Ovis aries: one gene and its partner. The protein of the gene in region 1 purifies or fractionates together with the protein of each later gene. This does not show direct contact. Links are inferred from orthologs where the notes say so. Each region holds a gene or a part of one and is shown on either strand. Other genes may lie near its edges. The genes, in order: PAK1 and GIT2.

What was found.
Region 2: the proteins of PAK1 (region 1) and GIT2 purify together in Homo sapiens (affinity purification with mass spectrometry; 5 studies listed by BioGRID and IntAct, with this or other methods). This does not show direct contact. The link is inferred for Ovis aries from reciprocal best matches to the Homo sapiens genes PAK1 and GIT2.

The regions. Positions count from the first base shown.
Region 1 is NC_056074.1:16,221,406-16,225,225, reverse strand, and holds part of PAK1 (serine/threonine-protein kinase PAK 1), read right to left. Parts: intron 1,171-3,820; coding exon 1,054-1,170; intron 1-1,053. UniProt on the Homo sapiens protein: Protein kinase involved in intracellular signaling pathways downstream of integrins and receptor-type kinases that plays an important role in cytoskeleton dynamics, in cell adhesion, migration, proliferation, apoptosis, mitosis, and in vesicle-mediated transport processes.
Region 2 is NC_056070.1:63,467,353-63,471,172, forward strand, and holds part of GIT2 (ARF GTPase-activating protein GIT2), read left to right. Parts: intron 1-1,821; coding exon 1,822-1,964; intron 1,965-3,820. UniProt on the Homo sapiens protein: GTPase-activating protein for ADP ribosylation factor family members, including ARF1.

The DNA of each region.
Region 1 (3,820 bases):
ACTATGTTAAGCACTGCAAACACACACACACATATATATAGATATATTTCCTCTACTTGTAAGGAATTCATGGTTTAATGGAAAAAATTTTTTAAATGAACATGCTTGCAAATCGAAAAAACCTTTCCAATGTGACATCTCTGGACAACTCTGATTCTGAAGCTCATTTTCCTTAAAGTGAGTTTGTAACCTATAGAAGCGGTGATTCCACAGATTCTGCTTATAAATTATAATTCTAAAAGGTCATCTAATCCCCTTGAATTGTCTCCACAGCATCTCCCATACTCAGTCAACCAACATCTGCTTGAATACTTCCATGAATTCTCTAGTTCAGAGAATCTTTTTTGTATTACCACAGAGTTTAAGCCCTAAATCATTTTTTCATTCTGAAGTTTTTGTCATAATAAAAAATCCAAACAAAGAAACACTAGTAGTATCATCTAATGATAGATCAGTGCTCAGTGATGCTAAAACATGTAAAATGCAGATTATGCAAAGTAAGGGCAAAGGGACCATGGCTATTATGAAATGCAACAACCTCAAAGGAAGTTAAATAAAAATTACTGCCAATATCCAGCATCAAAATGCACTCCTGATGTCCAGGATATTAATAGCACTAATGTTTTTACAAATTCTCTTGAGTCTTTCAGTATCATCAATAATGTCTTAAGAGCCTGAACACTGGACTTTAACAGAGAAGAAAGATCTATAGCAGGCTAATTTGTTGCTACCTAGGAGACAGGAACAATTTATGTTACTTCTGCACTAAGTAACACTAATTCTGTATATCTTCCTGTCTGTAAAGAAAGTAGGGCTAAGTTGGTACAAAGACCAACTATTCAGGACACCTTGGGACTATCTGCAAACCAATGATAAAAATAAATACACCACTTCCTGTCTTTAATCATACAGAAAGTACCTTTCAATCAAGGTAATTTGGTTATTTCACCACCTCCAAAATCTCAGGACCCCTACCAGAGTATTAAACTTCTAGACCTTGGCACCCATCCCTTACTCCCCACCTCCAAACTCTAATAAATCACAAAGACTCACAGATTTTGTGTGCTCTGGGCGTGGAGCAATCACTGGAGGTGGGGTAGCATCATCATCATCATCTTCATCTTCTGAAACTGGTGGCACTGCAGGGGTCTCAGACACCGCCTTCACATTCTGCACAGTGACAAAAGCCAGGTTCGTTAGGTTAAGCCAACACGGAACTTAAACTACCAGGGCCACCTATCTCCCAGAAGAAACCTTCTCCTGACACTCTTTCTGAAACACACATCAGCCTCCAATCTCTCCACCTTTGGAGCTGGCCTCAGGAACTCAGCCATCTCCCCTTCTTTTAGCTACCACTCCCCCTTCAGTCCCTGGAGGGCTTCCTTCTCCTACCCAAAGCCTAACTGTGGATGGGAAAACCAACTGACAGCTTCTCTACCTGCCTACCCCAAACCAAACCCTGAGGACAAGCTCATATTTCTTTCTTCTCTATGAATTTTACTCTGTGCTGAATAGAGGATAAAGTACAATATATAGGAAAGGGATCAAGAGTTCAGAATTTTACAAAGTTTATCATTATAATTCTGTAGTCCTTTCTGATATGGTAAATAGAAGTTCTGAAAGGTCTTTACCTCTCCTTTTCCTTCTTTACCAAAATATACTGCATCCCTTATGCTATCAGGTACGCTCACCTCAACCTGCAGATACCGAACATCACAAGAAGCAATGAGATTTTCCCCAGATCAGATGCTACCTATATCCTTAAGCTTCTGCCCTGTCTTGGAATGACCCTTACCAGCACCACTAATTGAATCTGCTATAATCTGACAAACTTGATTTTCCCACGCAAACTATAACAAAGCTGGGCCAAGACTGGCAGGTTTCAGGGCAAGACCAGGCAAAAAGATCATACCATTACTGTTTATAAAACATGTTCAAGAGATAAAATAGCTCCAAAATATGAGATTTTTGATAGAGATTAAATGATTATAGTATAGGACCAGAGAAGCAATAGAGATCTTTTAGTAGATATTGATATAATTCAACAGTTTCAGATATTTTCAGACCATCTACTTTGTGCTCAGTAAGATACTGTGATGGATGTTTTTGATATAAATGTACAAAGATGAAAAAGATGGTCCAAGTCCTAAAAGTAGCTCACCATCTGATGCAGGAGACAGACGGACAGACAATTCCCCTTCTGCTGCCATTTGAGGCCGCTGGAGAGAGGAATGTCAGAACAACGTGGGATAAGTGAAGGAACTTATTTAGCTGAATATTATACTAGAGTTATGTGTGGGAGAGTGGCCTTTACCACATTTGACATACTAAGTAAGGAAAGCTGGCATCCTCATAGATTCTAACAGGAGCTCCAGTGCAGGACGTAACTTAAAAACTGCCAGTGACAGGCGTTTATAAGCAACTAGTTTTAGTGACTACAGGCAGTGAATCCATCCTCTCAGCTTCAAGTTTCATTTACTTGAGGAATATGGAGGTGAGGACTGGTATAATTAGAGGGGTGCCCTTAAGTCACTTTCAGTTCTAAAATCCAATAGTAGCTCCTTCCCTGTGAAAGCACATATTTTGATACTTTTCTACTCTAATTTGTTTTCCCCCTAATATTCCACTCAACAAAATTTAACTAGGAACCCAAAATGAGAATGAAGTTAACTCAGCAGCCTCTCCATCTTCTTGGGGCCCTAGGGCTACCCACTGTAAACTATAAACACCAAGTGTGTTGCTTCCTAAAACTGTGGAGGAGGAGATTTCATCACCTTCCGTAGCAACACATTCTGGTTTCCACATGTGATGGCTTTGGGTGGTTGTATTAACGACTATCAGAATCAAGAGATAAAGGTTTCTTTCGCAGAATTTTATTTCTTATCCCTGTGTCCTTTGCCAAGGGTATCCCACTTTAAGCCAAAGTTCTCATCCATAAAATGGAAATGATGGCAAGAAGCTCTCTGCCTACCTTAAGGGACCACATGGAGAAAGAAATGACGTGATGTGGGTATAAAAACACTCAGTTAAGAAGATGTAAGGAATCAATTAAATTATCATTATGGCTAATAACCACAAACTTCTTTTTAAAAAGTGACTCCAACTCATCCACTGATTCACTGTAGATAAAGTGCCTGGTCCTATGTCTTACATTTTAGAAGAAGATATATTTAAAATTCATCACTAAATTGCCAGGTAGTAGTAAGAAACATGTGAGAGTAGAGATTGATTGAAAGTAAGGAATTATTACCTTAGATATAAGTAGTCATGGAAAGGCCTCTTTAATGGCCAGAACAAAATGAGAAAACAAGCCATCAGACCCTCTGGGAGAAGAATATTCCTGGCAAATGGAAGAGATACAAAGACTCTGAGAAGGGAACATGCTTGGAATGTTCCCGAAACCTCCAGGTGCCTACATATACTACTGAGAAGTGCTTATCATTTTAAAATTGCTGAATTTTGTGTAAAAACATAGCGATCTCTGATGTTCTGGCCCAGGATTTCTCCCATCCATCCCACCCTAGCTTCATTAGAGCAGGGTTTCTTCCAGGGAAGGCAGGCTGCAACTATGTGGTCCAAGAGGTCTCACTTTCATCTGGAGGAGTAAGCAGTGCCCAGGCCCAGTGGGGCCATCAGTGGAAGTAACCTCCCAGAGATGGCAGCAGGAGAGGGTCAACCGCTGCTAGCCTGAGACTGCAATCCTGGATAGGGCAAATGAATTCTGGCCAAGACTGCTCAAAGATACAGCAGACATTAGAGAGAGGTCCCACACTAGTTATACATGCCTGACTCTGTGCACATACATAAAAGCTTCAAAAGG
Region 2 (3,820 bases), on another chromosome or scaffold:
AGAGCAATTTTTAGTTTCATATTTGAATAGGGCACACTTTTTTCAGGGACTACGGAATGATGTAATATAAAATAATTAATTTTTTGAAGAAGCTTTAGTATCATCCCAATTTTGTAAGGAAAACATTTATGTACATGCATATGTACAAATGAATATCTTTATTTATCCCCATTACTCCCAGATCTCATATTTGCCAGTTCACCTGTTCATTAAAATTCATTTATTACCTTGAGAATTCCCTGGCAGCCCAGTGGTTAGAACTCTGGGCTTTAACTGCCAAGGGAGCAGGTTCAATCCTTGGTTGGGGAACTAAGATTTCTGCAAGTTTCATGGGGCAGCAAAAAGATAAATAAATTAAAAATTATTACCTTAAAATCTTACAGCACTTTGATGGTAATTTGTGGATCTGTACAGTGTGGTAAAAAATTTGAGTCACCCAAAACACATGTTCCCATGTGAGACTGAGCAAGGCCATGCTCTTCCTTTTATTTCAGCTCTTATACTGTAAGCAGGTAGCCTTTTTGATATTTATTTAGTGCCACAGTTTTTCACATTTTTTGATAATTTCACTGTTTAAAGTGGTCCCCAAGTACAGTGCTGAAGAGCTGTATAGCATTCCTGAGCACACGAAGGCGGTGACATGTCTTACAGAAAATACATGTGTTAGATTAGCTTTGTTCAGGCCTGAGTTACAGTGCTGTTAACCATGAGTTCAATGTTGATGGATCAATGATATATATTCAAGATGTCTTTAAACAGAAACGCATGTGAAACAAGGTTATGTATTTATCAGTTGACAAAAATGTGACCAGATGTTTGCAGGAACCTAACTGTATTTCCACTCAGAACAGTGGTTCAGTATTTGCTGATTTGTTCTTCACAGCAACTTTATAGACCGTGACTGCTACAAATAGTAAAATTTACTGTCTGTATTTGTATATGCTTGGGAAAAGACTGGCAGAAAATAGAATGACATGTATCAATAGCTATGAATGACTACTCTTATCATTAGTTTCAATTTTTCTATATTGAGTCCTTACTACTTCTGTAATCTGATGGTATATATATATATTACATATTCATTTTGAAAACTAAAATTCCCTTTGAGTAAACATAATTTATCACCCAGATATTATCCTTCAAAATTTCCATAAACAGTGTTGGAAATTTGAGGTTTGCTTGAGTTGCCTGAAAGAGAGATGAGAGACTTGGATAATTTGCGAAATCTTTCATTCATAATGTGTCAGAGCTGATAGAACCATCGCTACTTCCCAGTAACCATATGCTCTTGGTCTGCATGGTCTGTATCCAGTGGGTCATTTTCTTTCTCTCTCTTTCTCCCTGGCGTTCAGTTAAGGAAAGGCCAACGTGCCTATTCAGTGGTCTCCTAGTTTCTAGGCTTACTTTAGCAGTTTTCTTTCTGTTTTGACTTGATGTTAAATCCTGTAAAAGAGTTACAATTGTAACTGAATTACAGTTAATCGTACTTTAGTTACAGCTTTATTTTCGTGATTTCGAGCTATACTGTTTCCTTGAATGATTACAGATTTGGGAACCTGCCACCTTACATGAGCAGCTCTTCCCTAGCCATCTAATTCGTGCCCATTTTTGGCAGGTATCTCAGATGGTTGCTTCACTCTCTCTATAGTTTTCAGTAGACTCTGTCCGGTTGATAACGTGCTCTGTTATCCCTTTTGGGGGTGAATAGAACCTTGCTATTTCTGTCATTTTTCTTCCAGTCTTTTAAATGGCTCATTTTTCTTTTAGGAAAAAAGAAGTTCTTTTCAAGCCTGAAGTAAAGTTATTTGCTTCTGTTGACAGACAATGTAGAACTGATACTGAAAACAATTAGTAACCAGCACAGTGTTGAGAGTCAGGACAATGACCAGCCAGACTACGACAGTGTGGCGTCAGACGAAGACACGGATCCGGAAGCCACTGCAAGCAAGGCCCACAGGCAAAAGGTAAGGTGGTGCATTGCACACAGAAAGTGAGCTTATGTTCTTTTTCAGATCTTTCCTCCTAAAAATTTGCCTGATTTGTAAAGCATTCGAGGGCTAGGCCTGGGAAAAGTGCTCTGGAGGTAAAATTGGGTTTTCTACTAGTTTGGCCCAAGCAAAGGTCAACAAGGTAAATATTTTAAAGTTTTAAAATAGGGGGTCCCTTGCCCCTGAGTCAGTTGCTGACTCACAGCCCGGCTGCAGTATTAACTTTATAAAACCTATGAGGAGGGACGGGTGGGTTTTACTCTTTCAACAAATGTTTACTTTTGTTGGGTATTACCCAAACTTCTCTGGATAATACTCTCCTGAATGAGGGCTGGTCTCTTTCCTCTGTGAGGCCGTCCTCACCAAGAGGAGAGGGAACCGCGGTTCGAGGGTCATAAGTGCAGACAGGAGCGGAGGGGTGGGAGCAGGCGATCCACAGACACAGCCTGTCACTGACAGGGAGTGTCAGGGGAGGCTGAGAAGGCCCGGGACGTGGGCACGTGGAAAGGCAGGGAGGGGTCAGACTGAGCGGAGGTGAGACAGGCATCTGGGGGACGTCTGGTCACGTGGAGAGGCAGCCTGAAAGGAGAGGGAGTCTGAGCTGCGGCAGAGGGCGGGGATCACACCGTGCAGGAGCGTGACCCCAGACTGAAGAGCTGAGACCTTGGCTGGCAGCGCAGAGCCCAGGAAGCTTTTAGGCAGGGCGGGAACACCATGTCCACCTTGTTGGGTCCTCTGTTTGGGGAGGACCGTTCTGGTGGGTCAGGAGCGGAGGAGAGGAACCCAGGCAGGGAGGTGCCGACAAGGTCCAAACAAGAGCTGACGCAGGCTCACCTCAGGGCCTCTTCAGCTGGGAGGGTCTGGATGGAAAACAAAAGTCACCGTTGCAGAGAGTGAGCCCGAGGCCAGGGCAGCAGGGGCCTGGCTGGCCTGCCTACCGCTGAATATCCCTGACCTGGCCCACAGGGGGCTCAGCAAACACTTGAGAATGGGCAAACAGGAAGACAGAAAAGGCAGGGCTTGGGGACAAGTTAGACATTGGAAGTGGGAAGGTAGATTTACCCGAGTTGTGTCCGGAGTTTTCCAGCTTACACAGCTGTGCGGGTCAGTGGTGCCACCGGCAGATGCAGGGAACATGGAGGGGATGGCAAGAGTCAGCTGTCCCATCTGAAACATCTCCGCCAGTCTCCCCGGAAGTGCTGAGTTCAGTCGAGTGAAGGCGGGTCTTGACTGGACCCTGCACGACAGGGTCCCTGCACTGGCTAGCCTCCCCCTCCTCTGGGCCTTGCACACCCACGCCCTCTAGCTGAGTCCTACCACAGGCTGGAGCGCTGTCCTCCAGACAGCCACCTGACTAGTGACCTCCCCTCCTGCAGGCTGTTGCTCATGTCCCCCCACCCAGCTGTCTAGTTAAAATGCACCCACGTCCACCTCTCTTTCAGCTCCCCAGCCCCTCACTCCTCCTCTGTTCTGTTTATTTTCCATAGCACTTATCACATTCCCCTATACTATGTAGTTATTTATTATTATTTTTCTCCCTCTCTCACTCAGTTGGGATGTAAACACCATGGAAGCAGGAATCTTTTTCTATTTTCTTTTCTTATGTAACCTAAGCCCCTAGAACACTGCCTGATGCTTAGTAAAAATCTGTCAGAATGAGTGAAATAATGAATCAAAAAAGAAAAATGAATGAACAAGAGAAAGGCAGATGAGACAGGTGTTCAGAGTCACTGTTAGAGTAGATTTGTGGCCCCACTCTCTGATCGCCAGAAAATACTGACTTGAAAATTTTTCATCTGTTGTAGGAGCCCTACCTTTCTGTTTTATTTTTG